Drosophila melanogaster: one gene and its partner. Changing the gene in region 2 together with the main gene of any one other region gives a genetic interaction. Each region holds a gene or a part of one and is shown on either strand. Other genes may lie near its edges.

Evidence for each region.
Region 1: of eys (region 2) and rumi, changing one enhances a phenotype caused by changing the other (phenotypic enhancement), as found in Drosophila melanogaster (one study listed by BioGRID).

Annotation. Positions count from the first base shown.
Region 1 is NT_033777.3:22,748,676-22,752,597, reverse strand, and holds rumi (rumi), read left to right. Parts: upstream 1-2,000; 5' UTR 2,001-2,073; coding exon 2,074-2,209; intron 2,210-2,259; coding exon 2,260-3,359; 3' UTR 3,360-3,584; downstream 3,585-3,922. Other genes in the region: CG31139 (uncharacterized protein), read left to right, coding at 3,607-3,718, 3,774-3,922. UniProt on the Drosophila melanogaster protein: Protein O-glucosyltransferase. Catalyzes the reaction that attaches glucose through an O-glycosidic linkage to a conserved serine residue found in the consensus sequence C-X-S-X-[PA]-C in epidermal growth factor-like repeats.
Region 2 is NT_033779.5:2,310,015-2,313,936, reverse strand, and holds the start of eys (eyes shut), read right to left. Parts: upstream 2,258-3,922; 5' UTR 1,758-2,257; intron 1-1,757. Other genes in the region: CG9967 (uncharacterized protein), read left to right, coding at 3,510-3,811. UniProt on the Drosophila melanogaster protein: Essential for the formation of matrix-filled interrhabdomeral space: critical for the formation of epithelial lumina in the retina.

The DNA of each region.
Region 1 (3,922 bases), on a different chromosome or scaffold from region 2:
CCAAAATGGAAATCAATCGAGTCATTAGAAGGCGAGGGTCGCCACGCCACTGAAAATGCAAATGATTCGAAGTTTTTCTCCCAAGAACCATTGATTGGAAACGCTAGTCGAGGGGCTCCCAATCGCATCGATACGTCTGAATGCGCAGAAAAGATTTACGTGTGACTTCGGTTCCAAAAGCTTGATTATGACCACATATATTTCCATAAACAAAGCGAAGCTTTAGTCAGCGCCAAGCTCGAATTACTGTGTTTGTTTCTTTTTTTTTTTTTTTTGTATTTAACGTTTTCAGTATTTCGATATGGTGTTCCAAACGAGTTTAACGAAAAGACCTCAAAGATAGCCAAGTTAGTTCTTAGTCACTGCAAGGCACAGATACAATTCAACTTCCGCTAACTTTCATCAACAACAATGTTGAATCTGATTAAGATATCATACTACATTATTACAACGAAATGAGTACATTAAATAAGTTGGAGATTACTCCTAACATACTCTAATCCATGTTGTACAATAAGATTTAAAGTAAGCCATTAAAATGGTTTATACATACATATATCTTAGGAAAATGAAAGAGATGTTTAGAGTTACGGAAGTAGGCCTGCACTGCAGAACTCCAGTAGTGCACCTCGCTCGTGGCTAGCGATAATTATCAAGTTAATAACTCAACACTAATTAGTCAGGTGCTTTGATGGACGGTCGGGCTGGTGCGGGAGGGGCGGGGCAATGCGACCCTAGGTCGCGGACCAAAAACAAAAAGCCAGTATATCGCGCCGTCCAATGTGAAAACGAAAGCGATACGATTTTTTTTTGTCGGCGAGCAGGAAAATCGGCCGCTGGATGGGAAACGAAAATCAAAGTCGAGAAACGAAAAGCCCAGGTGGAATGCGGCGGAATGGGAAACTGGAGCTCTCGAAAGCAAACCAAATGCCAGGTAAATTAAATCGCAGCATCGGCGGCGGTAGCAAATCAACTTAATGACGATGGCTGGCAACTTTTCCAACAGTTTTTTCTTCCATTTTTTTTCTATTTTTTGTATTTTATCTGGCGATCGGATCGTGAGGTGAAATGAATTTAAGTTGCCTTTTTTAGGAGCCACAATAAAGGGGCTAAAAAATCGATGAGTGCTCAATTAACTGTTATTCGTAGTACGCCCACACACACACTCACGCGCGCGCACACATACAGATGCAGATACACTTGCAAATAAATAAAAATACATATGTATTACCTTTTTTAGTTGAACTTTTGGTGGCTTTTTGGCAATTGTCTCAACAAAACAACATCGTTTTCGCAATTGGGCCACTCCCACTACGATTTTTCGTTGCCAATATTACAATCCGGGCTTTATTTAGTTGCCCACCACTGTTAAATACAATTTACTTTTTGCAGTTATGTCAACTTCTCTCTTTCAGCGCGGCGTCCTTTGTTGTTGTCGTTGCAAAATTGTTCGTGTAAATTATGTACAATGGTGGTTGTTTCAGGTTGCAGGTGGTCTAAAACACTCGCGTTCGTTGGGTTTACGTGGTTTCGATTGCACTAGGTGCCGCACGCATAATTTGCAAATTGCAAATCGTCGTTTTCGTTTGTAATTTGGCTATTGGCTGGCTTTAACACGGAGAAAACTTTCGACGTTTCTTGTTGGTTTTCTTATAATGGTTGGATCGGCCAGTGTGTGCACACCGCGTCAAAAGTAAAACTCGGCGAACAGTTACTCGCATAGGGTGACCATCACATGGATGGTCATACAAAATAATGGTTACTACTGCAGGGCTTTGCCTGCAAATGCAGTGACATGGTCTGCCTAAGAAAGTAACAGTTCAATCACTGCTTTGCTGCCTGGGCTGCCAGGTAACAAAAAGTTATTAAAAACACAACTACTTCTCCTCTTAAGTTATTTGCAGCTAAATGGCAGAAAGTCTTTTATTTTCTACATCAATTGTAGACATTCATTTTACTTTAAAAACTATGTCCTTAAAAACATTTCTGGAATATCGATAGTTTCAGTTGACTTGGCAACCCTATTGCTGACGCCGCAATCAAAGGCCAACAAATTTGTTTACATCCAAAGAAATGCTAATAAATCATTTAATAGTCGTATTATTAATTAGTTTGGTAGGAACAGGAGGTGCAGAAGATGACGGACTTTGCAGTGCCGATCAAAAATCCTGTGCACAAAGTGAACCCGACCAAATAAACGAGGATGAATGTAAGCAACTTGTTGCCGGCTTCGATTAATTAATTAATCAATTAATTTAGTTAGCTTCAAGATACGTCGCCAGATCGAAAAAGCCAATGCCGACTACAAGCCGTGCAGCAGTGATCCCCAGGACAGCGACTGCTCCTGCCACGCAAATGTTCTGAAACGGGATCTCGCGCCCTACAAGTCAACAGGTGTCACCCGGCAGATGATCGAGAGTTCAGCGCGTTACGGCACCAAATACAAGATCTACGGACATCGCCTGTACCGGGATGCCAACTGCATGTTCCCAGCCCGCTGTGAGGGCATTGAACACTTCCTGCTGCCGCTGGTGGCTACGCTGCCCGACATGGACTTGATCATCAATACCAGGGACTATCCGCAGCTGAATGCGGCGTGGGGTAACGCGGCTGGTGGTCCCGTCTTCTCCTTCTCCAAGACAAAGGAGTACCGCGACATCATGTATCCAGCGTGGACATTCTGGGCCGGAGGACCGGCCACCAAGCTCCATCCTCGTGGCATTGGACGCTGGGATCAGATGCGCGAGAAGCTGGAGAAGCGAGCGGCAGCTATACCCTGGTCACAGAAACGCAGTCTGGGCTTCTTTCGCGGTTCACGCACCTCGGACGAACGTGATTCTCTTATTCTGCTCTCGCGCCGCAATCCGGAGCTAGTCGAGGCTCAATACACCAAAAATCAGGGCTGGAAGTCGCCTAAGGATACACTGGACGCACCGGCTGCTGATGAGGTGTCCTTCGAGGACCACTGCAAGTACAAGTACTTGTTCAATTTCCGCGGTGTGGCCGCCAGTTTTCGTCTGAAGCACTTGTTCCTCTGCAAGTCGCTGGTCTTCCATGTGGGCGACGAGTGGCAGGAGTTCTTCTACGACCAACTAAAGCCCTGGGTGCACTATGTGCCGCTCAAGAGCTACCCCAGTCAGCAGGAGTACGAGCACATCTTGTCCTTTTTCAAGAAAAACGATGCGCTGGCCCAGGAGATCGCTCAGCGTGGATACGACTTCATCTGGGAGCATTTGCGCATGAAGGACATCAAGTGCTATTGGCGCAAGCTGCTCAAGCGATATGTGAAGCTGCTGCAATACGAGGTTAAGCCGGAGGATCAACTTATTTACATAGGGCCTAAAAAGGATGAGCTGTAGCGAAATGAAATGTTATTGTGTTTAAGCATTTCTCATTTTGTATTAAGTTGCTTAGAGCAGCGTGAATCTCTCTGTCCGCATTCCATGCATTTTTGATGTCCAAGATTTAGAGAACAACTCGAATATTTTCCTATTTATATATATAGCATTTATACAATCTTTATAACAATCGAAAGCCATTTGTTTTAAGACTCAAAGTTTAAAATATATTTGGAAGAAATATGTAAATTCTCTTTAAATTTTAATTATGACCCAGCCAAGGATATGCTTTTTAGTTGGAGCCCTAATCCTCTCCTGCACTTGCGTTTCGTGCTCCAAGGACAAATGCGCTGTCAACGAACACAACCCAAACTCAAATAGTTAACTATATAGAATATAATATAATATAACCTTTTCAAGATTTGTATCCTTCAGCCAGCTACGACTTTGTGCCGCACATCCTGCACGCCCTGGCGATCCATCGACCCTGCGTAATCGGTGATCCGAAATGCCTCTGCCATGTGGCGACCATTCAAAGGGATTTGGAACCGTATGTGGACAAGGGGATTACACCTGAGATGATG
Region 2 (3,922 bases):
AAATGTAATTTATATCCTGCGTCACCAGCTGCGGACCAAGCAAAAGAATTCCGGAAAAGGGACGCGAAGGACCAAGAAAAAAGGGGAAAGCGCAGGACAATGAAATTTTGAGCAATTTCTACTGTCAGTTGCTGCCGTTAAATTTACTTACTGGCAGGTACTGGCAACTGTTTTTCCACTCGCACTTAATTATTCACTTGCTTTTCAAGAGAAGAACTTAACAAATACGTTCGTTTGCCACGTTAAGTTTTTTAAGCAAAGTTCTAAATTTAAAGGAATATGTATGAAATTACTTTTCTTCGGGATGTATTTGATTTCGTGACAATCTGAACAATTTTCACCTTTCTTCTTTGACTGCGTTGAGTGAAAGGACTTTAGCAAAAAACGTTTTATTTACACATTTTTTTCGCATCTCCATTTTTGAAATACCTTATGGCATGAAATACCCTATTCCTTACTTTTGTATGCCTCGCAAAATGCGTAAACTTAACTCGATTTCAGACAATTTTTTCGTACTTTCTGTTGCTGTGCCTTTCTATGTTTTCTTTGGCCAAACAATTCCTTTTGAAGGTCCTGGCCAAGTGCTTTGCCAAAAAAAAAAAGGATGCAAGTTGTAATTTCATTTCTCGCAACTCTTTGAGATTTTCCCGGACATTTTTTCCATGTGTGTTGGGGGCGTGTTTAATTCAAGTTGGCAAACAACATAGAGATAAAGTTTGCTTGGATTTCACTGAAATTGTTGCTGTTATGGCCCATTTTTTCCTCTACCTCTGGTTACTTTCCTTTTGAGTCTCCCAAGGCCTGTTGTCGTTTCCTTTATTGCATTTGTTATCCTGCTTGTTACCCACGATTTTTTTTTTTCGAGGCTTTAAGCGAATTCCACAATTTATTTCATCCATCTTACTTGGCCAGCTTATTTTGCTTATTCATGACCCAAAGTAAAACCAATTTAACTTTTTGCTCATCAGTAAAGCAAATTTAATTTGTTTGAATATCACTTTGGCAAAACATTGAATATTTATCTTTGCTTTAGATTATAATCCTTTTTAATATTGGCATTTTCCAAGCAGATTGCATTTAATAGAAATTCAAATTTAAATTCTCCGTTACGTTATACTAATTACATATTTTCTTGGCAAAACTTTCAATCTACTTTGAGAATTAGTTTTGCAGGCTTTTATCTTTAAAGAGACTGGAACTTGTTGAGGCAGCTGAAGTTTAGAAAAGGTCACTTTGCAAGTTTTCATGCTCAAAGGACTTTGAATATTTATGAAGGAAAACGATTTATATATCGAAAACATCTCACAAACACATTTATTAACTACTAGTTTATTAATTGCCACCGATAAAATTTAAATCTCTATTTTTCTTAGTCTTTGGCTACCCTTTTCAAAAAATTATCTACTAAATCTGTCACAGAAGTTTTCGTGAATAGTAGTAGCTCTCTTACTATTTTGGCAAGTTTGCCAAGTAAACATTTTAATTTTGAACAAGTGCCACGCCCACTAATTGGGTCATGGGGGCCGAAACGGAAGAGTTGGAATAAATTACATCCGTTCGGACATTCCTGCTTGTTTGCGAAATGTCAGCTCTCCGTTCTGGCGTATCTTTTTCGATCTTGAAATGCGGCATTCGGCAAAAGTTAAGAGACTTAAATTCTGGCATTTGGGGCTATCAAATATGAGTTTCGTTAGCCGCCACTCTTATCAGTTAGCCAAAATTTCGTCTTCGCTATCGTTATGTTGATTTCCACATACCAAGTCAGTTTATGGTCATTATCCCAAGTGTGAGGCGGGGGACTCCCCTGTTTTTCCCTTCGCTTGCTGTGTGCTAGTTTTGTTGTTTTTTGGTCACGTCATCGATTAGCAATGTGTTGCCATGGCATCTTCCACTTTACAGCAGCACAACACAAACACCCAGGGAACGGGGGCGGAAAATCACACAAACTAACACGACTAACTCCCTTGAAAATCCGTAAAAGTCCCGACCGCAAGAGTTGTAAACAAGCAAAATCCGTTCGTTATTTGATTTTTTGTTTTATGTTTTTAAATCCTTCCTTGGCTAGGACGGTATATCCTGCGTTTTTACACGAAAATGCACACACACTCAGTTTTTCTCTGTTTTTCACACCGTTGCACTTGTGTCGATGGTAATGATGGACTTTTTCAACTGATGATGGTTCCCGACTAACTGAGCTGATCCTTGAGGGACTGCGACTGGAACACGACCGTCTGCTCGCACGGTTCGCCGTCAACTGGATCGCCTCGAGCTTCCTTAGAGCCATCGTTCCCGAAAAGCCGAGTCCGCAGAACCGAGCGGGGAAATTCCGTCGTGAGTTATGCATTTCCCATCTACGATGACAGAATTTCCCTGGCTCTCTTCAGCCAGCGCTTTTGCTCTCTTTCTTGTTTTGGGCAATTTGGTGGCGTTCAGTTTTCCGATTTTTCCTTTGTCCAGGTGGTGGGTTCGCATTTCGCCGGTTTGTTTACGTTTTTGTGTGTTGGCCCGCTTTCTTTCAAGCCGGCTTTCTTTGCTGGCCAACATATGACTGCTCCTTTCGGGGTGGCTCTCCTACGAAACGAACTTAATTGATTGAGAAGCTTTACTTTGGTTAGAGGGTGCGGTTTTGGTAAGTCAAAATATTCCCAAACACGCTAACAAGGGTTGGTAATCAGTTTCTTTGTCGAGGGAGGATTTACTACATTGGGCTGTCCAAATAATATATTAAATCTAATGAATTGAAGTACTGCACTGTTTCTAATAACGATTTTATTGAAAATTGTTCATTTTTGTTATTAGGTTATTTTTTGAATTTACAGGAACAGTGCCCCCAAAAATCGAAAAGCTCTTAAATACACGGTACCCATGACCAGCCATAATAATGATGACAAATATGGCAAAGGCTCCAACTCCTTGTTTGTCCTTACCATGACCCCTTCCTTTACCTTTGCCCTTTTAACCACAGAAACTGTTCGCCGCCTGAATGTGCCAGGCAAACCGCTTTTGGTCGCAACTTCGTCTGGTTTCGGCTTATTTACAACAATTTTTCGTTACGTTTCGTTTCAGGCCTGGCCAAAAGCCACAAGCACCAAAGGCAGCTGGCCACGGGGACGAGGAGAGTGGCACAATAGACAAAGTGTATCAATTATAATACGGGCACAAGGCGAAGGATCCCCAGCCGGGGGCCAAAGGAAGGGGATCCGGGGTCCAGTAACCAGGAGCCGAAAAGCAGGATACCAGAGTTGCAGCTAACACAAAGAGAAAAGGAACTAAAGGTATTACCTTTCTTTGTTTTTATATAAAATGGTGCAGTGTACTTTCCACTTTTATAATAGTGTAAACAATCTTATATAAATTATTTTGTCAAAAAATTTTTAGATCTCATTTAGTTAGCAGGGTTACGAAGACTTGAAATAAACATTAACTGAGTGAATGACTTCTAAACAATGTGAATTCTCTATTTTGATATCCTTTTTTGCGACTGTAGAGGCAACCACACTTGCAGAGCCATGTTGGCTACGACAAGTACAACCACAATTACCTCGGATCCGGGCATCCTCTGTTTTCATCACTGCAACGTGAAAGTTTTCTGCTTCACTTTGCCGCACACTTGTCCCCATTGCAATGCCCCACTGGACGCGGATGTGGATGCGCATGGGGATGTCGATGGGGATGCGGATCCGAGTGCGCAACTAGACAGGGCCGGGCCACGCCTCCTCCTCCTGCCCTTCCGCCTGCCATATCCTTTTGTGCGGGCCACGCAGCATCCGTGCGCCATTGTCCTGCGTCCCTCCGCCGGCGATTTCCTCAAGTAAGTATGGTGCAACCCTTCTAAAAACCCATTCGCTGCAGCTGGTGACATTCAAGTCCACCAGCAAATCAACGAAATGTTTTTATTAGTTTCGATGTGCATTTGAATCGG